Struthio camelus: one gene and its partner. The protein of the gene in region 1 interacts with the protein of each later gene in a biochemical or structural test. Links are inferred from orthologs where the notes say so. Each region holds a gene or a part of one and is shown in the gene's direction. Other genes may lie near its edges. The genes, in order: ANXA1 and S100A11.

What was found.
Region 2: the proteins of ANXA1 (region 1) and S100A11 form a complex in vitro, tested with the Homo sapiens proteins (2 studies listed by BioGRID). The link is inferred for Struthio camelus from reciprocal best matches to the Homo sapiens genes ANXA1 and S100A11.

Annotation. Positions count from the first base shown.
Region 1 is NC_090982.1:27,179,385-27,195,055, forward strand, and holds the start of ANXA1 (annexin A1), read left to right. Parts: upstream 1-8,075; 5' UTR 8,076-8,304; intron 8,305-12,190; 5' UTR 12,191-12,203; coding exon 12,204-12,269; intron 12,270-14,021; coding exon 14,022-14,115; intron 14,116-14,907; coding exon 14,908-15,002; intron 15,003-15,671. UniProt on the Homo sapiens protein: Plays important roles in the innate immune response as effector of glucocorticoid-mediated responses and regulator of the inflammatory process. Has anti-inflammatory activity.
Region 2 is NC_090971.1:5,116,300-5,130,966, forward strand, and holds S100A11 (protein S100-A11), read left to right. Parts: upstream 1-7,246; 5' UTR 7,247-7,637; coding exon 7,638-7,640; intron 7,641-8,889; coding exon 8,890-9,039; intron 9,040-9,346; coding exon 9,347-9,499; 3' UTR 9,500-9,633; downstream 9,634-14,667. Other genes in the region: trichohyalin-like, read left to right, coding at 1-4,190; COPA (coatomer subunit alpha), read right to left, coding at 10,829-10,888, 11,216-11,410, 11,695-11,856, 12,135-12,245, 12,335-12,521, 13,101-13,237, 13,465-13,533, 13,756-13,833 and 3 more. UniProt on the Homo sapiens protein: Facilitates the differentiation and the cornification of keratinocytes.

The DNA of each region.
Region 1 (15,671 bases):
AGCCTCCTACGCTACGTATATAAATATTTATCTTTAAAAATGCAAGAGCTTCGCTAGGCAACAAGATACCTGTAGAAAGTAAAATGGGAGATAAGGATCATGTTTCTTCTTCTACTGTTTCCTGTGGCTAGCAACTTCTGCTCTGTCAGGAAACTAAATCTTACTAGATGAAACTCAAAGTTGTGGAAGACAGCTATAACTGAAAAGAATAGAGGCATATGCTATATACCAGAAAGCACAAACACTCACAAGATTAAAAGTGTTTCATGAAAATATTTACAAATATCCACATTTCTTTGTTTCAGCAGAAAGAATGTGAAATATGACACTCTTGCTACATATCCAGTAGTGATGAAACTAGTAAAACTCTAAGGAGTGTTTCATGCAATTTCAGCCCTAATTTCACAAAAACACGGTTATTAAATGCTTCCAGATGTGAAACTGGTATTCTGTTAGAACATAGTCTGTCCTATTTGGGAGGATTGCGTTGTACTCTCTCCCTTCTTTGGTTTATGAAGGTAAAAAACGTATTTATCACTGCCAATAACATTATGCTGAGATTAGTCTCAGCTCATGAAGTTGGCAGGTTGTTTTGAACTATAGGGCAAATATTGTGTTCTCTTGGAGTAAACTAGGCACATGCCTTATGATATGTTCCTATATTCATATGAACAACCCAGTAGCAGGAACTGGGAGAAGCAAGTCCTAGCCAGCAGCTGCAAAAGCAAATATAGAATAAATTTTTCCCAGGCTGACGCGGTCCAACCTTTGCTGCCATTGTTCTGGACCCCACCCTTATGTCAAAAAGGATTAAAAACAGGAGGCCAAAAGTGAGGCTTTTCATATCCCTAACTCCACAAGCAGTTTCACCATCCGTTTATAAGGAGCAACTTTGTGGGGAATCTCCTTCCAATTAAGACACAACTAACCAATTTGTATGACTTGTTTCTCTGGTGTCCTCTTTTGAATACATCATAGCTTCACTGCGCTGTGAGGAATAAATCATGGGACTAGATAAAAGGCCTCCCTGAAAGACTGTCCTTTCCTTATTTAAAAAGAAATTTTTGTGTTATTTCTTTTTATGACAATAAAAATATTCAGGAGTCCTTTTCTTCTTTTCCCCCCCTCTTTTGTCTCTTGCTGCAGGGAAAAAATGGAGGAGAAAACTGAAGAAGGGCAAAGGAGAAAAGGCAAGAGAAAAGTAACCTCTGAAGAGCTGAAAATGTTTCAAAAATTGCAAATGTAACAATAGAAACCTATATTTGACAGATCACATTTCCAGAATTTTTTGATAGAAATAAAAGTATATACAACTTAGAATTAGCACTGCAAATAGTGCTAAAACCAGAAACTGTTAGGTTTATGTCAGGTTTCAACTTCCATTTTTCAACATTCATTGCCATGTCCTTTGTGTCTGTCACTAAGCATTTTAGGAGTGAATAATAGCCTCAGTCCTGAACTAGCAGCTGACTGTGCTCGTTACTAAAGAAACACATTTTAATACCACTCCTTTCAGTATTCTTTTCTGACTCATGTGTTCTTGCTAATACTATATTAAAAATAATATCTGCAAACCTTCTTTACATTTTTACTTAAATCACCCTTCATAAAATGCCATTAATAATCAATTACAACATAGGCCTTCCTTTTTAAAATCACTACCATGTTGGGACTCAATATTTCACTCTTGCCTACAGTGTTGTGTTATGGATAATAATATTTTATGCATAATTTTGAGAAGGCAAACTTCCAGGGCTGGGAACCTCTTCTTCCTCTACCGATATTGCCAATCACTATGATTCTTTGAAAAACCTAGTAGTAGCAGCAGCTCCAGGGATAAAAAACCTGAGAGGGTTGGTTTAGTTTAGAACTGGGCCACCTATGACATATCACATCTGCACCTTTCCCCTTTGAGGAAGTTCAGATGCAAATCAACCACTGAGTAACGAACCGTACCTTTGGGCACTTTTACAATGGGACAAATTGCAACAAATACAAACCTGCCTTGAGGTTTCTTCTCTTCCAAATAGAAACAAGCCGAAGTCCTTTAAAGTTTCTTATGAATAGCTATGACTGAACTGTGTTGTTGTCCGTTGTGCTCTGTGCAGTATTTTTCCCCAAGCGGTAACAGCCATGAAGCAACTCACTCTAGAGTAAAACTGAAACATAAAAACAGGAGATTTCTGTTTTCTGAGCTAGAAACACAACAAGCAATTGCCTTTCAACATCTGAATGTAGAAGTCTGGAACAAATATCCCTGATGCAAACTCTTTTGTTGAATGTCAACAAAAGTATTACATTTATATTGAGGAGAAAACACATAAAATGGCGGAGGCCTGAAAAAGTACATCTTCACATGGAATATATCTGTTTAGTTTTTTTTTTTTTTTTGTATCTATATCCTTTTTCTGCGAAGGTTTGAGGGAAAGCCCCATAAAGATCTACATTTTGTCTGAGAAGAAACTATTTTAATCTTCTGTGGAAGCTAATCACTTTTACAGTCACTGACTAACTGAGAAGATAGTTCTGTGTCCTCTGCACAGAATTTATTTTGGCAGGCCAATACTCAGTGAAATAATAATACCCAAGATACCTTGAATAACGTTTGCTAACCTTGACAGTTCCCTGTTAATAATGGGAACAGCTAGGACCATGTATGACAAAGAGAAAATTGAATGCCAAGTTTTCTCAACCTTCTCTTGACTGTTCTTACCACGCTCTGAACATAGACAATAAGCAAACATAAGCTACTATTATTCACTGATCATGTCATTCCTGTTTTTCTAAGGGTAGTAGGAGCCACGCCAGGGCTGGGACACTCCAAACAGGCCTCAGCCTAACTGAAGTGATTCTGAAGCTTTGACATGTGATAATTGTTCCTCACTGTATTTATGGAGTAAGATATGTTTTTTTTAACCTGGATTGCTACCATCAATGTATGCAAATAGTGGTACGTGTTTCAACACAGAGAAACGGCCAAGGCAGAACGATTTGCTTACAAGAACCTTGGAAATGTTTTATATATTAATTTTCCTTAAAGGAAAAAAGAGAACATGGAAATAGCAATACAGTTGTGGAGCTAACTTGGAGGACAAAAACATTACCTACATATTGCAACATCATAGACTGTTTATCTGCTCATTAACTTTTTGCTAGTTAGTGTTGTCTTTCATTTCTTTGAGGTTACAAGAACACTATTTTTTAGCTGGGTTTCTACTTCTGGTGAGATGCAGAGCACTATTTACCCAGCTTTCTCGGCTCAGGGGAAGACATTGCCTGGTTACACCTCTCCGAGACCCAGTTGTGGCAGGCCAGCAGCTTACCTTACTTTTGTCCACAAAAAGAGTTTTTTCCTCCACGAAGGCACTAAGCTGTTCACAGCAGTCATATATTGTTCTATTGCTTAAAATAAAGCTCTGCCATTTGTGTTCCCTTTTCTTGAATGCCACTTCTGATGTGCCCCTCTGATTAGCATTGCAGATACTCAGCATAGGCCAGAGGCCAGTAAAAGGCTGGTATGCTCACGCTTCCTTGTCTCATCCATCTTCTCACTGCATGTGCTCTGTGTAGTACCTTCCTCACTGAAGTACCACCTTCATGGCAACAAAAAGGGGAAAGAGTAAAAGACCTGGGCCTGGAGTACATGCGTATAAACTTCTGAGTACTTTCATTGTTCTACTGCAATTCCAAAGAGGGTTTGTGTAACCAGGGTTTCCAAACCTTTTTTCCTAGAGGCTTCCTAGAAGGCTCAGATTTGTCTCATATAAATTACTTTGGCACACAACCATAGTGGAGTCTGGGCTTCTACCTGGAAGGCATTCTGACAAGTCAAGAAAGCTTCTGGAAATGTTTCTCAATCTGCATCCCTAAGATGAATTCCTGGGTCCACTGAAATCAGTAACATTGCTCTAGTTTATTTAAAGTGAATGGGATTTCTAGTTCCACAGGTGATGCTGAGATGTCATCACTTCACATATAGCTAAGCTGCGCATTCCTGCTACAGCATGGGCTGGTATTTATTTCATTATGTATGGGACAGTTTACTAACTTTTTGTGTTTTCTGAATAGCCAAGCTATGGTTTACAATGAGAAACAGAAAATCTCTTTATACTTCTAGAAATCTCTTGAGCTACAGAAAGGTATTTACTGCAGCTAAGTGAAGAGTAAGTATTAGACCTATTTATGGACAGAAGGTACATGTGCGATTCAAGTACAGAATTCCTCCTGCCAGAGGATCAATGCCAATTCAGTATTTCATGAGACACTAACAAAATATTGGCTAATCCAAGGTGAAAGAGAGAGATGAATGATAAATATGTTGTGCAAGGCTAAAACAAATACAATGAATCCCAGCTATAAATATTCCTCAAAAATATTCATGAATTAATTTGAAATATTATCGATACATAAATGCATGCTTTGCCTGTTTTCTCCCATCTTTTCCCCTTTGTAAATTGCAGAGGGCAGCAGCTGAAACGTGAACTAAGTGAGAAATAATGCATCGATGAAAGCAAATCCTTTAACACAGCAGCCGCTGTTTTGATTACCTATCTTATACATACGCGCCCCCCACCCCTCCCCTTCCCTCCCCTCCTATTTTTTTCTTAGAGCATGGAAGTAAAAAGAAAAATCTGTGTCTGGATTTGAAGTCTACACTACTGTATACTACCCAGGCAAACAGTTAGTTAAACTGTATATTTTCATGATCACAGCACAACTATACATGGACCTATCTAGAATCACAAAGATTAGATGCAAATGAGCAGATGAACAACAACAGATAGGGTTGCTGTTTTATCTGAAACTGAAATTTAATCTTCTGTAATGTCAAAGTGATGAAGATCTGAGAACGCACTATACTTCAATAAGCAGGAAAGATTTTTTTCTGAACAACCTAATAGAGATACTCTTCCTAAAACAGGAATTTGTACTTTGCCAAATATGCATTAGTGGGGGAAGTCCTGGGTTTGCACTGGAAAGTGTTGCCAGAACCTTTACTGCCTTTGTTAGTACTCATACAGTGCTGACATCATATGTATCTGTATCATCTGTATTAACTGTATCTGTTACTTGAAACCTGAGTATAGCTGGTTGCCCTTCAGGCTCTTGCTGTCTAAGGAAATGGAGTAATACATTTCTCGGCAGTTTCACGAGGTGTGTATAAAAGCTAGTGAGAAGGAATGAAGTCACAGGGTGCAAGACAGAGAGGTGGCTTCCAGCTTGTTCTGGCTTGCTATCAGCTGGTCCCAAACGGATGACTGACCTGGTGGGAAACAGGCAGAGCTCTATTTTCTGACTTATTTTATTATCTGACTCAGTACACTCAGGCGCTCCTGCAGGACAATGCTATTTCAGAACAATGCAATGTGTGAGCATCAGTTTTCACTTAACATTTATCTCATGGGTAATCTGAAGGTGATCAGTACAATGGGCTTCCTCAGCTGAGTGTAGGTAGAATGATCCATTTCCAAACCTTCCCAAATATAGGTCCTCTTTACGGCATTCCCACTGAAATGCACACAGAAGGGCATTTCTAAGGCAGGGGAATCACTGGCCTCTGAAACAGATGTAAGGGCTCCTGTCTTTCTCCCAGACTCCAAGAAATTCCTGTGTTATTTGGCTTTCACCAGTGCTCTATAGGATGACTGGCTTGGGGAAACTCTGTTTGCCCATTTGAGCTGTTATCATAAGCCTCAAGGCAAATATTTGGTGAGGCCAAATTTGGTAGTTTATCAAAAAGTGCTATTCTTCTCTTGCTCTGTTTTTACTCTGAGTGAGTACTTTTCCAGTTCTCACAGGAACAATTGTATACTTTACTAGGTGACTATTATATCACAATACTGATGCTAGCAGTATCTGAGGCATGTTGTTTTGAGTGTAAAAGTAAAAAAAAAGTTTCTCTCATTTCTATTATGACAGTAGCTCCATGCATTGCATCTTTTGCATAAACAATACCAAATCCTGAAGCTGTTTACAAACTACTACAGCTTTGTGAAACAAATGATGGAGTTACTGTTAAACAGTTAACAATAAATGCTTAGGTTCTCTCCAATTAAATTGCAATTTTTAAGTGTAAGACTACTATACAGTAAAGGGCTCTGATGACTCAGTCTGATTTCAGGAAGACGATGAGTCAACATCTCTGCCCATTAGAAAAGAGAAAAAGCAATTGCAAACAGCTCCTGAAAAGAAATGCAGCAAAATGGCTTCATCTCAGCTCACTCCGAAAGCTGAAACACAGGCTTGAAAGACTAAATACATAAAACAAGTAAATAAAATAAAAGTAGAAAACTACAGTGACGAAAACAGCACATTAGTCCAACTGTTGAGAAAGCAAATTAAAAAAGGTTTGAGCTGGAAGAACGTCTTACTAAGTACTTCTAACACACTGTTTCCTGCCCTTACAGGCCTCTAGTAAATGCTGCTGTATTATTTTCATTACTCAGAAAATGCTAGCAACTTATAAGGAAGCTCTGAGTCTGCATAACTTATCTTTCTAGGTTATTTCCGGCCTTCGAAAGACTCAGCAAGGAAAACCAGGATACAAACATACTTCCAGCTTTTCAGTGTAAATGGATTATAATTAGTCATGCTCATTAACAGGCAAGGGAAACAGTTCCAGAAAAAGAGTGTAAACACAGTTTTTGGCCAACATCGGAAACCACTAAAGGAATAACGTTAACTTCATACTGACATGGACAAGGTCAGGAAGGCAGAAGTAATCTGACTTTCGCACAGAATAATTAAACAAACAAAACTCAATGCAACCTGACAGCTTGCTGACAATATCAGCGTTTAAACTGGCAGACCCCTTCAATTATTCAGCTGTCTGAAAACACCTGAAATACTAATATATTGCTAAATAACACATGTAGTGCGGAGGAGAGAAGGAAGGTGCTATATGCAGGAGAAGACTGTTGTCCTGGCGCTGCGGGGGCTCCTTGGGGCCAGGGTTGGGGGCTGCCATGGGTACCCGTCCCCCTGCCCTGAGGGAGCAGGGCACAGGAAGGTGCATGCTTGCTGCACCACATACTTGATTAAAGAGAAGAAACAAAAAAAAGAAGAAGAAGAAAAAAAGAAGCAGCCTGTTTCCAAAGTTGAAATAGCCCTTTTGTGAAGCAAATTGAACATAAGGGTGCTGTAATGAAAGCATTTGCAGCAGGTGGCTCCTCTTACACTGCCCTGCAGTCTGTGCCCCTCCCACCTCATTTCATTAACTGCTAAACGCAGGGCTCCAGAAAAGGCTGTATTTCATGCAGGTTTATCAGAGGCACATCAGCCCTACTTCACCTTTCTACTGCTGCCAGCGTTTTGCAGCAGGTCTGTATCAGCTGGGCAGATAGGCCAAGCTGTTAGTTTCAGATGCTTCCCCTTCTGAGACTGGTACTTCTTCCCGGGGCAGCGCGAGCTGCGCCCACCGGAGACGCGTGCCATGCGTGCGCTCGGCGCTGTGCCGGAAGTGCTCTGGAAGGGGCGTTTGGCCAGCGTGATGAGGGAAAGCTTGTGGATCACCCCTTCTGGCAAGCAGGCCAGCACCCTCTGAACTTCAGGGTTTAAGCCAAGTGGTTCAAACCATTTTTAATTATGCAAGTACCTAATTCTTCTTCTCACTTCTGTTAAGCTTAGCAGGTCCGAACTGCTACCTTTCCCAAAAAAAAAAATCGTAAAACCCCCCAGTGCCCTTTTGACATAGTATAGGGAGATTCGTTTTTGGAGGTGTCTTATTACTGAGGCAACTCTGCTGTGAATTCATGGCCAGAAGCAGAGTTAATAGCTGCCAGAGCTCAGTAAAGCCAAGAACCTGCGTTAACTCTTTTCCACTCTACTTTTCTTTTTTTTTGTTGTTAATTTTCACTGGGGAATGAGATGTCTTAATATATTCACTTTTTACTTGTATAAGAGGTGTCAAAAAGTCCAGGAAGTAATTAAAGCTTAGCTTTTGTCTCTTTAGTATTTTAATCCAATAACCTCAAAAGATTTATGGAAATTCACTACAGTGAGGGCTCTGATTGTGGAGACTGGAACCTACCAAGGCATGCTCATGAGTTGTCTTTTCCCCTATGTAATCTGCTCCTGCTTCCTTCCAGCGCATGGTTTTGCAATGACTTCTTTTGTGCAGTTCTGTGTGTTTTGGACAATACCCCAATTTAGCCTGTAGCAAAGAGCAACCAGTTACTGGGGCTGTGGAAACACTCTGGTTGCTAGGTGGGGCGTGCTGCAGAGCACTATAAAAGCCATAGCAAGGCCACAGCTCTTTTCTTCTCGGCTGTACCCTCCTGAAAACTAACGTTTGTGAGGCAGAAGGTAGGTTTTTGTAGTTCTTTGTTGCTCTTTGTAGACCCGACAAGCTTTAAGAGTTGTGTTTCTCAAGTGACCTGGTGCAATTTTGTACAGGCTGGATTTGTTGCCACCAGAAAAGAAGGGTATAGGCAGAAGAAATTCTTTCAGTTTTGAAATATTTCATGTACATGGAGGAGTTTACACAATAACTGCTTTTATTTAATGCACGCGAGGAGTTGAAAAAAATAGCTTAAATGATTAAAAGTAAACTTACTGGAGTTTACTGCTTCCTGTGCTTTCATTTTCCCCTTTGTAGTAGGCTGCTGTAGAAATCTGTTTGCAGCAAAACTGGAATCACTAGGAAACGAATGTGCTTTATATGGGAACTTAAAATGTTTTTAAAAGCAGTTGCTTTAACCTCAACAGCAGTTCCCTGCTTTGGGAAAGTAGATCAGTCTTTGCTCGTGAAAATGATGAAAGTGAGACAAAAGAACCTTTAAGGAACATAACAGCAAAAATCTGCTCTGTAGCTAAAAACTTGTGCAAAGTCACAGAAGTAAGGGCTGTATAATTTGGGATTGGTTCTGCTGACACTTTCCACTGAATTTTCCAAGGGCGAGGCTGTTTTCCTCCATGATGTTTCATTTTTATCCACTGGACTTTGCAAGCATAAAAGAAACACATAGTTGTTGTAAAAGAAACGCCTGCAACTACTGCCTGCTTTTCTGACAGGGTGTTATGATCTTAATTTACATCAAAATTCTGGTAATTAGCATGGGACTGTAATCAGAGATGATATATTTGATGTGTGATTAAATAAGGATAGAGAAATGGCAGGGATGAACTTGATTTGACTCCTCTATAGCTGAGGGTGTCGTGTAAAAGTTGGAGTCTTTAAATATGTTGAATAAATAGGTAGTATTTATTTTCTGAAAACTTTTTAGAATTTAAACATGTCAAATTCAGGGGCACTTCTTGCAGGGAGTGGCATCCAGACTGTAACAAACTTATCAGTCATTCCTGTAAAGGAACATTTATGACTTTCAGTCCAAATCTCCTTTTTATTTGTCATTCCAAATGCAATAGTAATTATTCCAATTTGGACTGATAAAATGGATGATAATCATAATATTTTTCAAACTGAAAAACTTTAAATTCCTATCTCCTTTTAACTGGGATGTCTAAAGATTCCAGTTTGGGTCGTAGGGCACACAGTGTGTACAATATTTTATTAAACAGAATAATTTTGAATAGCTATGTGGTGTAGATATATGTATATTTTTTTCTCCTTGTTCATAGACTTTTAGGAGAAAGTATGGTAGAAAGCCAGTAGTTCATTCCCCCCTCTTCAAGATATTTTTTTTTTGTCTGAATTTATCTCTTTTAAACCTAGGCTGTGCTTAACATGAGCTGTTTGCATTCTAGAGTGGCAAGGGTCAAAGCATTGGGAAAGGCCCCTACTCTGCTAGGGGGCTGGCTGTTTTTCCCCTGGATTCCTGCAATCTTTTTGTATTAGTCATGATTTCTTATAAAGATAGCAAACAACAATTTTACATGTAAGCTGGTTTCATAACTTTCTGAGCCAGTGTAAGCAGTCTTTAACATTTCTCAAGAGCATTTGTCTACTTTAGCTTCTTTTTTAAGTTATAATACTGTTTGTTTACTAGATGGAAGCAGATGGATGTACACGCCAAAGTGTCTTTATTTAAAAGGCAGAAAAAATAAAGGTTTTGTTTTTAAGCCACATAATTCTTCCACTGTATTTCTAGTTTAAATTTGAATAGGCATAAAGGCTTAGAGGCTTAATGAACCACAATGCAGTGCAGGTTAGCAGCCCTCTGCTTCAGTCATTGCCCTGAGCAGCAGGAGCTCCAGAGCTGGGTGAGGGTGTGGATGGGGAGAGGCAGAAGGGTTGGGGAAGTAAGTGGTTCTCCCTGGGGCCAGCCCTGCCAGCTTCCTTCCCGATAAATGTTAACGCTGTCAGCCCAAATGCAACTTTGGTTCTACCCCTTGGTAGATCTGGTGCTATGAAACTGAATCTGGCTTATTAAATTTAAATTGTAACCAAGAGTACAGTCTGCAGACCTGTTAGCAGACAGACATACCTGTGTGCGTCACTGCCGGTGACCAGGCACGCAGCGCTCAGCCCAGAGGCTATAAAATGTCATCATCCTGCTGCAAACAATCTTCGTTGTGCAGGGCAATTGCCTGTTACAGAATACAGCAGGATTTTAGATACCACAACACTTCATCTGGCCTCATGCACTTCAGCTATCAAAGCAAGGGTGGTACAGGAGTCACTAGATCGTTTCGACAAAATACTGTTTTGGCAAGCAACATAAATAACCTTTTCTGGTCTTCAGACCGGACTTCTGAGTAAGTTACACATACCTGAAAGTTGGTCCCCGTCCTTAAACTTGCACATACTTTAAGTGATGTATAGTAACAGGATCAGAACCAGCTTCAGGTTTTTCAGAAGCAGGGGCAGAGCTGAACTTTGTGCCCTCAGGGCTGAGGGAAGGGCAGAGAAGCAGGAATTTGTTGGCAAAGGGTGGAGCTGGGATGGGGAGCTGGGATGGGGAGGCAGCTCTCTTTGCTGACAGCTGGACCTGGAAATGTGCTTTACAGCTTTGCTACTGGTAAAAGGAGCAGCTTGACTGCAGCCGTGTTGCCTGGCCCTAGGAGGGAGTCGCTTTAGATGACTGCTCCTTTCCCAGGGCCATTCAGCACCGTATGGATCACAGGGCATAAATAAAGCAAGGGCGTTTGCTGCACAGTCAGCATTGGTTATAATACTTTTGCGTAAGATCTGCCTTATGTGATCTGTACCTCAGGAACTCCAGTAGGTTCACATACACACAGCTGCAAACAGTGTTTGGTCTTGTTACGCTAGATGCGTGAGGCGTTATTCAAAGATACCTCAGATTAATAGGCTGTGTTATCTTTAGTTTATTGTTTATATGTGTGCTTTAAAACCTAGCCTTCCCAAGAGTTTTCTGTGGAAAAGTGTGTTTTGATGAAAAATCCATTTGGCGCAGACAACAAATACTTTACCTGATAAAACGTAATCTTTTCCACTCTATTCCCTCAGTGTTTCTATTAGGAAACAGAATTTTCTCTGCACCAAGGTTGTTGCGAAGCAGCCCATTCATTACCATTGAGTGCTTGGTTTCAAATCACTTCTCCATTGCTTTTTTTCCTATTTTGCATGACATCTTGTGGAAAAGCTGGCCTGATTTGCTTTTGTAATGATGAAAAGCAAAAATTTTTTTTAACTTCCTGCATGGATATTGCTCTACTCTTCAGTAGAAATTGGAGAGTACATGTGAGAAATAAGCAATGGTGTAGGTGAAACTGTCCACTTCTACTCATCTTTCTTAAGAAAGGGCTATTCATAGAAATTAAATGAGGGTATGTTTAACAGGGGAATATCTTTTTGCTTAACACAATACACAAAAGCTCAGAACTCAGTAAATGATCATACATGAATACTTGTTTATCACTGACTTTGAACAGAATTGAATATTCAGTCAGGTATATGGACCTTTGATAAGGGAGAAAGACAATTTGTTTCTTGTAACTTTCCTTTGAAAGCCAGTGCTACCACTTAGGTATTACCGTACGAAATGAGCAAATAATCCAATTAGTTTAGTATTCTATTTCTAATCTAAAACTTGTGGAAGCAGCTAAGGGTGTCTGGATGATCAGGCAACTGCAAAGCATTACATCATCTGCTGAACATCATAATCAAAAGTTAACTGCTTTCCAATAGCACAAACCAATTAATGCTTGGGAAGTTAACGCCTATGTTTCATAATTCAAGAGAAAAGACTTTGCAGTGGGAAAGCTTGAGATGCACTGGCAATGAAAATGAGAAAAAATGGTTTATAATGTGATGCATCTTTTCCAGAAAGTCCATCAACATGGCTATGGTAGCAGAATTTCTGAAGCAGGCATGGTTCATGGACAATCAGGAGCAGGAATGTATTGTAAGTATTATAACCTTTTCAGAGCATCATGCTTATGGTCAAGTACTTTTAGAAGTGGTTTAAAGCCGTAGGCCAACGAACATCTTTCATAGACTCGGAAGGGAGGAAAGACGATGGCAAAATTCTGCTGATTAGAATTAGAACAGGATTTTGTTATAACATACAGTCTAAAAAGTCTCTGATAGCATTCTGATATCGGATAAAAAAATATTCTTGGGTGCACATTTCAGTGCCTAGTTGCTAGTTTATAGACAGAGCCAGTTACTGTAATGAAACTGCTGTTTCCACTGGTCAGTCGTCGTTTGACTCAAAGTAAAGTAGTAATCTGATGCACAGGAGTGTGAATGTGTAAGAACGTGTGCAGATGACGTATGTGGGGAAGTTAGAGGTGCTTAGACTGAGGTTCAGGAAGCCATGAGTTGGAGCCCAGGAATGCAAAGGAGGAACTAATGCTCCTTGTATAAATACTGGTTTTCTCACCATATGGCATGCTTAGGGTGGGAAGAGTCACTGTATGTGATAAAGCATCTCAAGTGATTGGTAGTGATACTAACTGGAAGAAATCTGAAGGAAAGGCTGACGGTGATGAGAAATTATATGTTAGTGCACTAGGTGGTTCCGGAGTGTCTTTGTGATAAGGAAGCTGATTAGGATACTGACAAGGCTGTCGGCGCAGGTAAAGCAGCACGCTGTGAAGTCGTGGCAGATTCTGAAAGCAACTTTCATCTTGGAAAAATAAAGTATAAGAGGGAATTTCAGTAACAAACTTTTCTGCTTTAGATCTTCTTTGTGGACTTTCTGATTTTTGTCCGGCACCATATTATGACTAATCCCTTGGCTCCACATCTCAACCCCCTTGTGCTCGCAGGGCCTTGAGTCATTCTAGCTACAGTGGTTACAGGCAGTTTTTTATTTAGCTACTAGATAAATTTGTCATGGAAACTAGCACACAAATACTAATCTGGCTAGCCTGGGATCCAGGCACTGAGCTAGACCTATTCTTCTGTTGGCTTCCACAAGTCACAGTGATTTTTTTTTTATTTTTTTTTAAGTATGCCAGACACTTCTTTAAGTATGCAATATCTATGTTCTGTTTAATACAACTCCTGGTGATAAAATTGTGGAAAATGTAACTAACAGATATTACAAGTATGCAAAAATTCAGTACAGAATGCTGTATGTGAAATATATATCCCTAAGACGTTACTGTTCGTCTTGTGCTAATTAACTTGAGAGGCAAAAGATGAAAAAATATTCTGATAGCGTATTATTGAATATAAGACAAAGAGTACAGCTGATTCTAAGAAAGTTTAGCTAAACTGCTGTTGTGTTCTAAAAGGTCTTATAATATTTCACGCCAAGTGGGATTTTCTTTAAATATTTCATCCAAGAATCTCAGAGCATTTTTTAGCTGCTGTCAAAGAGGGTAATGAGGAGAACATTGGTTATATAGTTCTGCCGGGGTGTGGGCCCTACCAGTAACTTATTTTGTCATGTTGACTTAGGTCAAAGCACATAATGTGTCATGTGGTGGAATTCATTATCCCCCAGTTATCCCCGGGTTCCTTTAGGAGGAAAAACCAATGCATACGTCATACTGGGTCTTTTAAATTATATGTAGCTACTAGACTCAGAGTTCATTTCTTCACAGTGGTATAACAGGCAATCCTGAATGCAAGGATGATTTAGGTATGTAAAACTGCTTCTTTGCATAAATATTCTTTGGAATGAGTATTTTTTTTCTCCCGGCAGAAAAGTTCGAAAGGTGGCTCTCCAGTCCAGTCATACCCTAACTTTGAACCATCAGCTGATGCTGCTGCTTTGGACAAAGCAATTACTGTCAAAGGTAAGAGGAGTGAAATATTTTAACACATCACATTGGAATTCTTCCTTAGGAAAATTTGAGCATAGCCCTGGATAAAATATCAGTCACAGGCAACGATAAGCAGCAGAGATGCAACCACTTTCAAAAGCCTAGCAAGACATCAAAATTACGCCACCTGGGAAAGCATCTGAACTCTTTGATAACCTGGCATTGTATTACAATTTCAGACCTTAATACTATGTTAAGCTCCCTGCATGTGTTGAAGGATGTGTAGTAACAGTTTAATTTCCAGAGAATCAAAAGGAATATTATGACACATGAAGCTAATGGTTTTTGATTTGATTTCCATAAGAAAAAACCTGAGAGAAGTAGTGGATATGCTGATACTGTATTATATGCTTCTATTAGGCTTCTTGCTTGAATTAACAGTAGGCCAATGTGGCTGTAATGTGAAACCTTTTTCAGTCTGTCTTGCTAAGATTAAATGAGTATGTCATTTAATGCTGTTTATTTTACTTAGTTATGCTGTGGTGTAGGTTTGGCTCCCAGAAGACTTTAAGGCTTTTTTATGAAAAACTGTGGCAAATACAGGTTTCTGTTCTATGGGAACCGATTTATCAACTTTCTTCCTTATGTCACTCTCTAAGTCAGTAGATGATTGTAGTTTTTCCTTTGGTTAAACTTGAGCGTGTCAAACAAAATGTGACACATTTCAGATAATAACATACAAAAACGATGATTTAGTTAAATAGCACTCTAGGCACTGTTAACGTTTGCGATATATTAGACGTTATGTTGTATGGTTACTCGTAGGTGTGGATGAAGCCACCATCATTGATATCTTAACTAAAAGAACAAATGCCCAGCGCCAGCAGATCAAAGCTGCCTATCAGCAGTTGAAAGGAAAGGTAAAGTATATCCAAGTCCATCTCAAATGTATGCCTGAAGTGTCAGTGTTGCCCCTGGGTCTGGTGGTGCATACAGCTTTAGCTTCCCAGAACAAAAGGCTCCAGCAATTACCTTCTGCAGTTTATGAAAACTGTGACAGAGGTGATAGTACCCTGGAAACTACATTGCCAGTGTCGAGTCTTTGGATACAGTGGCTATTATTTTGGGGAGGGGGGAGGGAATAATCCCATGTTCTCAGCCTCCAGGTGTTTGAATGCCCTGAAGGTCCTTTAAGTCATTCTATCACTGGGAATGTAGAGAGCTCGCTAACACCTGGCAGACAGTCTGCTGGGAGAAAAGGAGAGAAAGGAGGAGATTTTGCAGCATCTCTCTCCGGATATTTAAGTGTTGACAGAATACAGAATGGAACAGGAAAGACGCAGGACCACAGTCCTGTTTCACACCCGCAGATGCAGAGGGAGCAGTGTGCTTATTCGTTTTAGTGGCAAAACTGCTAATTCCTGGAACTGAGGAGCTTGGAAATTACTGGGTTTAGAGTTTAATTGCTCTTCACAAAGATCCCTAAAACAAAATTTTCCAGTTGAACTTCTAACTCTGAATTGCAATTATAATTTCAAAGTTCGCATACCAAAGTTACTAAGCCTTTGCTCTTAGGACTCCCTGGATTT
Region 2 (14,667 bases), on another chromosome or scaffold:
AGCCACGTGGCGACACAGCAAGGAGGGACCGTTCCCAGGAGGGCGAACCAGCAGAGGACGAGAGGAGGATTCGCCGGGGACGAGAGCTGGAAGAGCCAGCGGGCCAGGCGAGGATCGATCGCCAACGCGAGCTCGCAGCTGACGTCTCCGAGAGCAGCAGACGCCAGGCACGGGAGAGAGGAGAGCGAGCTCCCGCGAGCGCCTACGAACGGACCCGCCGGACCGCAGAAGAGGCAGCCGAGGCAGACCTGAGGGTTTGCCGTGTCTCCCGCGAACCGGAGCCACGTGGCGACACAGCAGGGAGGGACCGTTCCCAGGAGGGCGAACCAGCAGAGGACGAGAGGAGGATTCGCCAGGGACGAGAGCTGGAAGAGCCAGCGGGCCAGGCGAGGATCGATCGCCAACGCGAGCTCGCAGCTGACGTCTCCGAGAGCAGCAGACGCCAGGCACGGGAGAGAGGAGAGCGAGCTCCCGCGAGCGCCTACGAACGGACCCGCCGGACCGCAGAAGAGGCAGCCGAGGCAGACCTGAGGGTTTGCCGTGTCTCCCGCGAACCGGAGCCACGTGGCGACACAGCAGGGAGGGACCGTTCCCAGGAGGGCGAACCAGCAGAGGACGAGAGGAGGATTCGCCGGGGACGAGAGCTGGAAGAGCCAGCGGGCCAGGCGAGGATCGATCGCCAACGCGAGCTCGCAGCTGACGTCTCCGAGAGCAGCAGACGCCAGGCACGGGAGAGAGGAGAGCGAGCTCCCGCGAGCGCCTACGAACGGACCCGCCGGACCGCAGAAGAGGCAGCCGAGGCAGACCTGAGGGTTTGCCGTGTCTCCCGCGAACCGGAGCCACGTGGCGACACAGCAGGGAGGGACCGTTCCCAGGAGGGCGAACCAGCAGAGGACGAGAGGAGGATTCGCCGGGGACGAGAGCTGGAAGAGCCAGCGGGCCAGGCGAGGATCGATCGCCAACGCGAGCTCGCAGCTGACGTCTCCGAGAGCAGCAGACGCCAGGCACGGGAGAGAGCAGAGCGAGCTCCCGCGAGCGCCTACGAACGGACCCGCCGGACCGCAGAAGAGGCAGCCGAGGCAGACCTGAGGGTTTGCCGTGTCTCCCGCGAACCGGAGCCACGTGGCGACACAGCAGGGAGGGACCGTTCCCAGGAGGGCGAACCAGCAGAGGACGAGAGGAGGATTCGCCGGGGACGAGAGCTGGAAGAGCCAGCGGGCCAGGCGAGGATCGATCGCCAACGCGAGCTCGCAGCTGACGTCTCCGAGAGCAGCAGACGCCAGGCACGGGAGAGAGGAGAGCGAGCTCCCGCGAGCGCCTACGAACGGACCCGCCGGACCGCAGAAGAGGCAGCCGAGGCAGACCTGAGGGTTTGCCGTGTCTCCCGCGAACCGGAGCCACGTGGTGACACAGCAAGGAGGGACCGTTCCCAGGAGGGCGAACCAGCAGAGGACGAGAGGAGGATTCGCCGGGGACGAGAGCTGGAAGAGCCAGCGGGCCAGGCGAGGATCGATCGCCAACGCGAGCTCGCAGCTGACGTCTCCGAGAGCAGCAGACGCCAGGCACGGGAGAGAGCAGAGCGAGCTCCCGCGAGCGCCTACGAACGGACCCGCCGGACCGCAGAAGAGGCAGCCGAGGCAGACCTGAGGGTTTGCCGTGTCTCCCGCGAACCGGAGCCACGTGGCGACACAGCAAGGAGGGACCGTTCCCAGGAGGGCGAACCAGCAGAGGACGAGAGGAGGATTCGCCGGGGACGAGAGCTGGAAGAGCCAGCGGGCCAGGCGAGGATCGATCGCCAACGCGAGCTCGCAGCTGACGTCTCCGAGAGCAGCAGACGCCAGGCACGGGAGAGAGGAGAGCGAGCTCCCGCGAGCGCCTACGAACGGACCCGCCGGACCGCAGAAGAGGCAGCCGAGGCAGACCTGAGGGTTTGCCGTGTCTCCCGCGAACTGGAGCCACGTGGCGACACAGCAAGGAGGGACCGTTCCCAGGAGGGCGAACCAGCAGAGGACGAGAGGAGGATTCGCCGGGGACGAGAGCTGGAAGAGCCAGCGGGCCAGGCGAGGATCGATCGCCAACGCGAGCTCGCAGCTGACGTCTCCGAGAGCAGCAGACGCCAGGCACGGGAGAGAGGAGAGCGAGCTCCCGCGAGCGCCTACGAACGGACCCGCCGGACCGCAGAAGAGGCAGCCGAGGCAGACCTGAGGGTTTGCCGTGTCTCCCGCGAACCGGAGCCACGTGGCGACACAGCAAGGAGGGACCGTTCCCAGGAGGGCGAACCAGCAGAGGACGAGAGGAGGATTCGCCGGGGACGAGAGCTGGAAGAGCCAGCGGGCCAGGCGAGGATCGATCGCCAACGCGAGCTCGCAGCTGACGTCTCCGAGAGCAGCAGACGCCAGGCACGGGAGAGAGGAGAGCGAGCTCCCGCGAGCGCCTACGAACGGACCCGCCGGACCGCAGAAGAGGCAGCCGAGGCAGACCTGAGGGTTTGCCGTGTCTCCCGCGAACCGGAGCCACGTGGCGACACAGCAGGGAGGGACCGTTCCCAGGAGGGCGAACCAGCAGAGGACGAGAGGAGGATTCGCCGGGGACGAGAGCTGGAAGAGCCAGCGGGCCAGGCGAGGATCGATCGCCAACGCGAGCTCGCAGCTGACGTCTCCGAGAGCAGCAGACGCCAGGCACGGGAGAGAGGAGAGCGAGCTCCCGCGAGCACCCAGAGGGAGTTCCATGAGAGAAGCATTTGTGACAGAAGTGAGTCAGAACAAGAGTGTTATACTTTTAGCCACCATCATCCAGATGGGTTACAGTGTGAGGCACCAGAGAGTAACCCCTGTGAGCCTACAGAGCACCAGGGCAAGAGGAATTGCACACTGCTACACAAGCAAGAAACACTAGTGCATGAACCTAAAAGGTACCCATCAATTGAGGGCAAAGGAAGAAGGGATGATAGGAGCCTCTTCCAAATAGTGCAGTTGGATACGAAGCACCTGAGCCTGCCAGCAGAGCTGGAGTCTGTTGCAGATAGGAGGATCCATTATCTTCCTGATGAGCTAGATGTACAGCCAGACGTCAAGTTCCTCCCTCTGCCTTGCAAGCCTCATACTGTGGCATACTTAATCCACGTGATCCAGAAGCTAAACAATCCCCAGTCAGCCACCTACGAGATTGTCTGCTACCAGCCCCATGACCTGGGGCAACCTGTTTATGCAAGGAAATGCTATGTGTCACCACAGCCTCTGGCAGTCCCGCGCGAAGGAAGCAGTCGCCAGGAGCCAGAACCCAGTGAGGACGAGAGAATTCCAGGGGATACTCAGGAGCCTGAATCCCCGCAGCACAAAGACACATGTGTTTTGGAACCATGTGTGGACAGGAGCAGTAGCCAGCAGCCACCTCCTTCCAGCCCCCAGGAAAGAAAAGGGGACCTCAATGAGCCACATGAGCATGAGCCGCAGGAGAATAGAAAAAGCTCCTGTCAGCACGAGAGGGCTGAAATAGAAGTGAAGGAAGGGGTTTGTCAGGAGCCCCCATCAGATAGCATTAAGGGTGAACCTCATCAACCTTGCAAGGCTGAACTCAGACAGGACAGGAGGAACAATCAGTGTTCAAGGATGCCCGATACCGAAATGGAGCCACAGGAAAGCGGATCGAAAGCCTCTGGAGAGCAGGTCCTGCAGGAGCCCGAATCCAGCTGCCACCCAGCGGGCAAGCCCCGAGCGCCAGGGAAGGAGGGAAGCCAGCCTTGGCCACAGAAGACCAAATCACCCTGGGGGGAATCAAGTCAGCAGGGGAACGAGTGCAAGGAGAGGGAGGCCAAAAGCCACCTACCTCTGTCCAAGGCATCCGAACACAGCCAGGACCAGGCGGCCCAAGGCCAGGCTCCAGAGTTGCAGCTGTGGGAAGGTGGAGGGCACCAGGCACCAGCATGCAAGTCAGGCCAGCGAGCTGCAGAAGATACCTGTCTGCAGCCACCCCCGAGGGAGGAAGCCAGCTGCTGTCAGCAGGATGCAGAGAGGAGCCACCTGCAACAGAAAGAAAACAGCAAGAGGAGCTACTGCCAAGCAAGCGAGTCCCAGACACAAGGGGAAGAGGAACCACATCTTTGCACCAAGCAGAGCCAGGGCCCTCCCAGCCCTCCAAGGTCACAGGAGACACCAAGTTGTCCCGGTGTGGATGAGGTCAAGGCATCTTAGGGAGATGTCTGGTCTCTGCCAGGTAGTTGGTGGGCCTTCCCCAAGTCTCTTTGAGGATTGCTTCTACTCTCTAGCTTCTGCTAGCTTCTGTAACTTCTGCTTTCTTGCATTATGTCTATCCACCTTAAGTGCAGTATTTACTCACTTTTCTACTGCAATTGGACTCCTTGGGTATCTCTGTCCTTTATATCCCTGTCATCTCTGCTATCCTGTGGCATCACTGTTCTGTATCTCACACTGCACTCACATATCCTTAGCCCTGTGGCAGGCTCTCCTGCTTGTTAGCTTCTGCTGCGCAATGCAAAAAAAAATCCCAGTATCTCAATCATATTCATTCTGGGGCCTGAAAATCCTTGAGGCTGGGAAAAGACACCTCTAAATGCAGACTCAGTGCTTTTAGTTACACATTTTTGCTTTCCTAGCAGCTGAGCATAATCCCAGCTCCAGTATCAAGGAGGCTTTGAAGTAGTTGAGTTATGCTGTGGTTACCACAGGGTAATGGTGGTGGTGGGTCGGGTACAGGGAGGGATTGTTTCTTTTTCACACTGACGTATTGCATGAAAAATCACAATAAATAGCTGATGACTGCACTGACTGCTGCCATGTTTCAACCTTGCATCTAATTTCTTCAAAGACTTCAGGCTGGTGGGAGGGCGTCCCAGTTCAGACCACCTATCCCTCCTAATCTTAATTCAGACAGAGATGAAAAATCTGCTGAAAATCCCTCCAAATACCCAGCTACACATCTAGGAGCCCACGTACCTCTAAAACTCCCATAGCAGCCCACATATGTTATAATCTAAGACTCATGGTGGGTCATATAGCCCTCACCATGCGAGGATGTGCCCTTGCTCTCTGGCTTTCACGACAGACACAGGCAGGGAAAGCCCGCAGTGGAGATCTGCTGCTGGCTAAGGAGCTATCTAGATGCTCGTTTTCCTGGCCACAGGCATCTGCCTATCTTAACCCCAGGCTGCCCCATGTCTGGGACCACTCACGGGTCCTCGGGCAGAAGAGAGGCAGCAACGTGGCCTGGAAAATGCACTGTTTCTCAGACATGGTGCACACAACTGGAGAATATGTCCACGGCCCTCCCTCACGAAAATCAGATTTTACTCATTTTCCTTTCCCTTGAGCAATAAGGAACTGATTCCCTCAGCAGCAGATGGGGCTATGATTTTGCTAGAAGATGGAAGGAGAAGCGAGGACAACCCTGCCACCATCTGTGACTCGCTCTGCAACGCAACTAGAGCTGTACAAGTCAGAGCCTGCTGGCTGGTAATGGCACCAGATGGGAGGAGCAAGGGCATCTCAAGCCCATTAGAGCCTGACGTGGCTTCAGGAGGAAGTGCACGGGGTTCCTCACTTGCACAGGCTGGCTGCACAGCCGCTTTCCTCTAATGTTTCAGACACAGCTGGTGCCAGAGGAACTCGTAAGGATCTGTCCCAACCTGGGACAGGCGGATGCACAGGGTGACAACTCTCCAAGATGCTCCCTTCATGCACGTGACTGTTGCACCTCTCAGTAACAGACATATGGCAGCACAGATGGCCTGTCTGCAAACACAGCCAAACTCCCGACTGCAAACACACAGCAACAGCAGGAAACAGAAACTTCCCCAAACCCCACGCTGCAACTAGGACCAGGCTAGGCCAGAGCCCTTTCTGGGATTTGCTCTTGTAAAACAGGAAATAATGCTGGTCCATCTGAACAGCTCTTATCTTGGTTTTAAGGGATCACAAAAAGAAGTTTGCAAAAGCACAGAAAGAAGCGCAAAGTCCAAAGAGAAGAACAACATATTTCCTGCCCCCAGCTCCCTGCTTTGAAAAGTCCTTTTGATCCACTTGCACTGAAATGTTTCAGGCTTAGGAGAGGTTGGATGGGGGAGGCACTTTTTCCCCAAAACATGGAAAACATAGTTTGGGGAAGGAAATTGGGGCAAGAAAGGAAAATAGATTAGGAAGTAGGATTCTTCCCCAGATTTGGTGCTTCATATGATTTCCCTTTCTCCTGCCGTATGATGAGTCAGTCTCCAGCAAGATTTCCCAGCTAGCCCCATCCCTACAAGCTGCCCCTGAGCCCAGAGGGCATCCCCACTCCCTACACACCGTCATGGCTGCCTGCATTATCCTTGGCCACTCTGCTCCAGGCTCCACCTGAAGTTTTTGGGGAAATCTGGCCCCATCTGGGGCTGGTGGTCACGGGGAAAATCTGGCCCTCACGACCTGCAGGGTTTGGGGTATGTTCATGTTCACCTCAAAGGAGCAGAGAAAAAGGGTGCCGTAACTACGCAGTGGCTATGTAAATGCAGATAAACCAACATGTCTGAGCAGCTTCCCCAGCACCCACTGGCTGCAGGATGGAGGGCGGCTGGGGGATGAGGGCATGGCCCTGGACTGCTCACGGGACCAGCCCTGCTCCCTGGGCAAAGGTAGCCACAGGCACCAGGGTTCAGCCCAGCTCTCCTCTCTACCGTGCTGATTTCATGGCAGTGCAAATCCGACAGCCCTGATCGTCCCACCTCCACGCTACGTGAGCACATCCCTTGCCTTCTGGGTGTCCCTCCTCCACATCTGCATCTCCCCGTTTTAAGCCCTCCGTGGCCAGCACAGGCTCTCACTGCAGCTGAGCAGCATAAGGCACGAGGGTGGCTGGCTGCAGTAGGGAGCTCAGACCGGCACCCCAGCCCCAGCGAGGTCTCCTTCTGCCCCTGAGAACCCAACAGCACAGGCAGCTGCCCCTTTTGCAATATAACAAGCTTAAAACACATTATCAGCGTAGCTCACCAGGTGGGACAGGTCAGCACGAAGAGCAGGGATGCAGACAGTCCCCAGGGTCTGACATCCCTGGCAAGTCCTTTGCTCCCTTCCAGCAGCCCCAGCTATGTAGTACTTGTCCCCAGGTCCCCACTGCCTTCGGCAGGGCAGAGCTGCCTGCTCACCTGTGCCTCTCTAGCAAAGCAGGGGAAGCTAAACCTCACTGTCGCAAGCAAAAACACTGAGGACATTCTGGGTAGCAGCAAAGCAGCCCTGGGGGCCCTTAGGCTGGGTGAGAAGGAAAGGGAGCTGCAAAGGGACAAACGACAAAGAACCGAGGGGAGAAAACAGGCTGGAAGAAAAACGAAGGTTGAAAGATATGAAGGAGAAAAACGAAAGTGCAAATCACTGTAAAGAATAACACATAGAGAGGGAAGAGGATGAGAGAGCCCAGAGGAGGGGCCCCACACATTCCTGAGCCCCAGGTGGGAACCACAGACACGTCCAGATCTGCCGTTAGAGCTGTGATTGCCTAACGCGGCAGAGGGGGCTGAGTCAGGGCTCGACGCTGGCTCTGCCGGGAAGGGCGGTGGCAGCCAGAGTGAGGCTCATAACCGCCCCAGCTCCTGCCTGTGCCACGCTGCGCCGCAGCCCCTGCCAAGGATCGAGCCCCCTCCTCACGCCCCAGCCATGGTGAGTGAGCCAGGTCCCTGGGAAGGGGAGGGAGATGCCACTCCGTAACAGCTGGAAGGAGATTGCAAGAGATTGTTTGTGGTTCCAGCAAACAGCCCTAGAGCTCTGTGCGCAGCTGAAAGAGAAACGTGCTCTAGCATCAGAAAGAGGAGACAGTGCCAAGGGCTGAATTAAAATCACTCCCTAGGAGAGGGCCTGGGAGCCAGAAGAGGGTGCAGTGCTGCGGAGGGGGCAGAGGGTCCCTGCAGCTGTAGGGGAACAGGAGGTAGCATTTGTCCCCCTGCAGTCCCCCCACAGCCTTCCCCTCTCTCTCTATTTCTTGCTCGTGTTTCTGATACCCATTCCTGGAGTCAGGGCTGCATCTCTCCCTCCACCAGACCCCGGGGCAGGGGGCGCAGGCAAAGCCAAGAACTGAGGAAGCAGGGCCCAGGGCGGAAGCGACTTGGCTTCTCTCACATCAACCAAAAAAGGCTAAATTCAGCCTCAGGCAGGGCAGGATGTGGCCACAGAGTCCCCAGGATGCAGAGGTTAGAGAGGGAAGGGCAGATTCTTCCCAACTCTCCCCTGCGCTGCCCTTTCCCAAAGACTGGAGCTCAGCTTAGGGCCTATGTTGTCCCCCTCCCTTTTCCCTGGGTGTCCCCAGTGCAGCAGCCCTAGCCAGCCCAGCTCCCTCCTGGCCAGGTCAGCATTTCACCCTCTGGCTCCCCGTCCCCCCGGCCATCGCAATATTGCAGGTCCCAGAAGCGAGCAGTTGAGGGAGCCAGCACTGCTCGCATTTTTGTCTTCTGACTCAGACTTTCTGCTCTGTCCAGGGAGGGCAGGAGGAGGGAAAGGGGGAAATGCTTATCTTTCTAGAAAAGCAGGCGTAGCCCAGTCCTGTTGGAAAGCACTGAAAAAACTAGCTGCTCTTCCAGGCTGAGGGAGCAGCCGTTCTCACTGCATGAGCTCTTCCTCTTCCGGGCAACTCCCCTCCCCAAGAGATTTTCCATGCTAGAGAGCCCAGGAATCCCAAAGCAGCATGATTCACACCCCATCCCTCCCCTGGGTACTTCCTCACCACAGTGTTGTGCATTAGAAGAACACTAAAGAAAAATGTAGCTGAATAGGTTGGGCATAGGAGACTCCTCCAGGAGAGCAATTGCACAAGGTCCCCCTCACCCCAACCTTCCTCTAGAAATAACATTGCTTCTTTTCTGCAAGCAAAGAGCTCTCTTCAAGGGCTAGCCTAAACTTGCTCTCACTCCTTCAGTCAAAGGTGTCACCCACAGAGACCGAACGCTGCATCGAGTCCCTGCTGGCTGTCTTCCAGCGGTATGCAGGGCGCGAAGGGGACAACTGCACGCTCTCCAAGAGAGAGTTCCTTGCCTTCATGAACAGTGAGCTGGCTTCCTTCACAAAGGTGAGCAAAACCCACGCCAGACCCTTCCAGGAGTTTTCCATTGTGTACTTCAGCCCCTAGGACAGCAGTTAAAACCTTTATTCTCACAAGAAATGTGGGGTGAGTGGTGGGAAGAACTCACTTTTGCCAGAAGCAAGAGTAGATCCTGACAAAAGTTGCCCCCACTGAGTTCTGTCTCCCTCTGTCAACCCCTCTCCAAGGGTAATTAAAATTCAGTAGCTGCAGGGTTCATACCTTGGCAGATAACAGCAAGGGGCACCGTTGCCTCTAAGCAGATGTTGATAGCAGACTCCCTGATCTTTTGCAGAATCAGAAGGACCCAGCTGTCCTGGACAGAATGATGAAGAAACTTGATTTGAACAGTGACGGGCAGCTGGACTTCCAGGAGTTCCTGAACCTCATTGGGGGCATTGCAGTAGCATGCCACGATACCCTGGTTGTGCAGGCCCCTCGCCGCTAGCCCAGGCAGCTCTGCCTCTTCCGTCACCGTGGACTTGTCGTGAGCAAGTACCACACAACGCTGGAAGTAGTCCCCTTGAAACGTGGGTGTCCCCACTCCCCCTTTTCTGAATAAAATAAAGGTTTTAAATCCTAGCATAAGGCATGGTATTATTTTTGTAGCACAAGGCAGGGGGAAGCACTACACAACCAGTCCAGACACCTGAGGGAGCCAGCATCTCTTGTTCCTCTCCTCTGCTTCTCCACTGATGTGAGAACACAGGTCTTTTCCCCTCAACCTCACAGCGTCCCTAACTGCACATGTTTCAGTCTTGTAACTGCTGAAAACTACAATTCATCTGACCTTGGAGATCATCCAGTCTGTTAAATATCATGGGGAAGGGCACAGTAATTGCAAATGGTACAACTACACAAGGTAAATGTGAAGACAGGAGCATTACAAGTAACGATAATTTGAGCACTGGTAAGAGCAATTATACACTAATAATTAATGAAAGCACCCCCTGCCAGCATACTAAATTATTTCAGCAATGTAGCCTCCATTTTCTGGGAACTTTAAAACCCTCCAAAGCTGGTAGCTTAAGAGCACAAGATGGTTGGAAAAAAATATGAAAAGGGGAAATGAAATCCAACATCCATTCTATCTCAGTAAGACCAACTGGGCTACCAAAGAGGCGGATCAAGATGGTCAATTTATTTTATTCATGTGAGAAGTAGAGAATGTTGAAAAAAGCTGGCAGAACCAAAAAAAGTCAACAATAGCAGTTAGATTCTGAGCTGCTCTCCCATCATTTCCAAAGGGAGCAGAGCTGTCTCTGCGTCAGGTCCTGTGCTGGCCCCAGGTCCAGACAGTGCCCCACTCCAGTGAGAGCCAGATCAGCTCTTCCTGCCGTTCCAGCTGCAGCAGGTTGAGTACTTCTTTCAGGAGTCCCAACTCTAAAGGAAGTGAGAGCCAGTCACTGCCTATCAAGTAGTTTCTATGGTGTGCACTGTATGGTACCCAGGTCTCAGCAAAAGCCACCCTTTGCCCTCTGGAAAAAGACTGGGCTTTGGAGGGGGAACTGTAGCTCTGAGGCAATAGTACATAGAAATGTCACATCAACTGGATCTGGAAACAGACTCTCAAGTTGCTACTGCTCAAAAACAGCGGAGAGTCTCACTACAGCATTCCTAGGAGAGGAAGCGTATGTAAGACAATAGCACGGGCACAACTATGGTGAAGAGATTTGACTAGAAGCCGGAATGATGGGAGGTAAAAGTTTCAACACTGTGCTGTGAAACGGGACCATTTCCCTCTGATCCTCTCACCTCCCCAGGACAGGGCAGGGCCCTAGCGGAACTGGAGTGGGCTGATCCGCAGCCCAATGACATCTTTGCCGATCTCTGTCACCTGGGGAATAAAAGGGAGATGATTAATGTTTGAAAGCAGCTCAACAACCCAACCCCACATGTGGTGTTCACAGCCTACGGAGTTCTCAGGAACGCACACGGCCGAACACTGCAAGGTCAGTCCCTGAAGGTAGGATTTAAACTACATTGTATTACACAATTCCCAAACTGCTCCTCCTTGCATGCCAAGTCCTCAGACATGCAACTCTAGACCCAAAACCCAGGCCAAGTCAGTCTAGGGAGCGCAAAGGGGAATCTTTGGAGTGAATTCTCAAGGGAAGCATCATGGACTAGGAGTGCACGATTACAGACGTTTACACTCCCTTACTGTGGTGACACGGCAGATCTGTCCCTGGAACTCAGGACAGTAGCAGGCTCCACTGAGCGGACACTTCTCCACAGGTTTGCCACGATATATGGGCCGGTAAGAGGCAGCACAGATGTCAAAGGGGTTGTGCATATCATAGTTGAGCTGATAGGTGTCAGTGGGATTCTTCTCACACGCGGACAAGATCTTGCGGGTCTGCAAAAAGCAACCACATTGACCAGAGGGGGAGCAACAAAGCAGTCCAAATAAAGTGCACCACAGGAGGTGGAACAGATTCAACTGGCAACAAGCATAAACCAGGGTGCTTCCTCTCAATGCCTCTCCCTTCCCATCAGCAAGCACTTCTGCCCTGATCACAAAAGCCTCAGCCTATCCCTGCAGGAAGCAATAGTTAGTCCTCTCTGAATCAAGCAGGTCTCATTCCAAAGCACACAGAGAGCACTCTGTTATATTCCTGGCCATGCACCTCACAGACATACCTGCTGCGCCACCTCAGGCTTTGGACCCAGTTCCAGCAGCCGACGAGCAAAGGCAGCAGCTGTCTTGAAGTTTTTGAGTTTGAAAAAGAGGTTGAGAGCAGTGCGCAGCACCAAGATCATGTGGACAGGCTGCAGGTTGGAGTGGGTGAAGTAGGCAGCCATCTGTGTTAGGGAGAAGGAGGAAAAGGAGAGATACAGTCACTACCAACCAAGTGAGAAACTGGATGCACTGAAAAAGTGCAAGAAACATACCAAACCCTCCCAGGTGATCACGGCCACATCTGCTTTAAAGGTAGAAAACCGAGGCACAACTCCACGTAAGAGGAAATGGTAGAAATGGCAGAACTCATGATTCCCAGTGCCTTTTTAAACCAAAAGGCTATTTTCCTCCCCAGCTTCCTCCCAACCACTCCACGAAGAATTTCATGGAGCTTCTGTACCTCACAGATCCGCTTCTGCTGCTCCAGGGTCTCTTTGGGCAGCTTCTTCCGCTCTGTCTCCATTGAGAGCCCTACAATATACTCCCGGCAAATGGCTATCAGTTGCTGGGCCTTGGAGAGAGCGACACAGGGAGTCAGGCATTCGGCCTCCGGCCCCTGGAGGATGCAGGGCATGGTCAAAAGAAAGAGTTGCCCCTCACCTCAGCAACCTCCTGCTTGTTGTCTACCACCAGCAAGGGCACACTGAGCAAGATGGAGCGGAACTTCTCCACAGCCTCCTCAAACTTGCCAGCCGTAGTGAGCTGGTAGCACAGCTGCAGGCGCTGGATCAGGTCATTGAGTTTCAGTCCAACAGCAGGAAGGGCGTTCTTCAAGCCAGCTTCCTTCCTGGGAGCACCAGAGAGGTGTTGGGGAAGGACAGAGGGCATCCAGAACACACCAACGTTACATTGACAGCTCAACTGCAACTTGTCAGCAACACTTTGACCTAGGACCACGGTGTCTGTCTCACCTTAGCACCAACGGCATCTGTGCTTCCACAATTCTGCCTCCCACAATGCCCAGCTGTCTCTGCATTAACACAAGCTGGAAAGTAAGGCTCATTTTTCTACAGTGACTCCCAGCCACCACCATAGAAAATACACTTGTGGTTCTCTAGATGTCCTAGCTTCAGATTAGCTTTGCCAGAGGGAAAGTATTAGAGCTAGAAAAACCAGCATCTCAAGTGCCTCACATTGTTTTCAACCTCTAAAAAGGGAGGCAGTCCTTTCAAGTCTCTACATCTAACAAGAGCAGAAAAATCCCACTAAATATGGAATACTCCCTATTTACATCCATCAAACAGGAAGGCTCCTCCCTTCAGAAGAGAGGGAGAAGAATTCTGGCTACAACTGAACTTCCAAGGTGCCAGGGAGGAAAACGGCACAAGGCAAAGAGCACAGAAAAGGAGCTAGCCCCATTGCTTACCAGTTGCGATGTGGATATCCATACATGGTAGGGAGACAAGGCAGGGCTTGGTAGGTTGTACGGCCACGGGCAAAGGTCTGCAGGAACAGCTGCTTGTAGGGGCCAAAGTTTGTGACTCCTACCTGGTCATGAAGGAGCTGAAAGGGACACATTAATCTGCTGAGCAAAAGACGCGTAGGGCTTTACAGAGACTGCAGAGACATCAACACTCAGGCTCTTACTTCATAAACAGAGAAAACCATGCATGAAATGATTCACAAAAGGACACAAAATGAAGCTTCAGACTAGATCAGAGAGAAGAACACCTGGGCACAAGGGCAAGCTCTCCCCTCCAACCTCCCCAAGAACTCCTGGGGAAACTTACTCTCATTGCTGTTTCAAAGGAGCCTGCCAGGATGTGATCAACAGGAAGCTGAGAATTGTTACACCACACCTACAAAAAGGGAAGAGAAACATATTACAAGAACTGCATACGTGCACACGTTTGCCCTACCTACTCTCATCACCCCTCATTCCCATAACAAGTTCCTGTGTTGTGCTCACAGCTGAGTGTTAACACAAAGTCTGAAACAGAGTTTGGGGGGAGGGGGAGGGGGAAGGGGGAACCAAAAGTAGAAAGTTTATTGGAAAGACAACAAAAGATTTGTCCCATTACCTGAGCAGGGCTGGTGCCTTTGGTGGGTGGCACAAAGAATCCATCTTCTGCTCCTCCTGCTGGACCAGCAGGTACATCCTGGGGAAACATACAGGAACAGCGAATAGCATCCAAGTGTTTGACACCCAGATGAAATCATAGCTGGCTGTAACTGTGGTGACAGAGACTCTCTGGTAAAGCCCAGAAAATAATTCTTCCCTGAAAGCTCTCATTGCCTTCTCAAGTCACTACAACCAGGATACTTGAGAACTCTCACAAATGCACCTTGCACCCAAAAGCACCCTACCAGTTCAGGGGGAAGGTCCAAATCTTCTTCAACTTCCCATCCGCCTCCTTCTTCCTGCCCTTTACCTAGGCCTTCTTCTCCAAAGCCTTCTCCAGCATCCACAAAACCATCTGCATGGAAGAAAAGAATTAGTTAGAGCTCTTACACACACATGCATGCTCTTCTCGCTCACTTTTCTAAAAAACACTCTTGGATTCACCCACCTTCATCCAGCTGCAACTCTGCATCTTCACCCCAGCCTTCAGTGCCAACAGTGTCAATATCAATATCTGCAGCCAAGGCACCCCCTTTGCCTTAAAAAAAGGATAAGATTATTCATTTATTCATCTCTGAGAAGAAAAGATGTTAACCAAAGAATTCTTAGGCCAATACCTTTCCCTCCAATTGTCAACCACCACCTGTTGTTAAAAGGACAAAAGATTTCTTGAGAGATTTTAAGGGTGGTGTAAATATCTAGCTGGATTCCAATCTCTGCTAGTAACATTCAACAAATCTGAGGTTTAACAGCAACAGTTCAGGAGCCATGGGGACAAATTCAGTTCTACGTTTCCCAGCTTAATGCAGCTTTCCAGGGATAGAGCAATACCTTTGCTAGCAATTGTTCCTTCAAAGAATCCCTTGGAGAC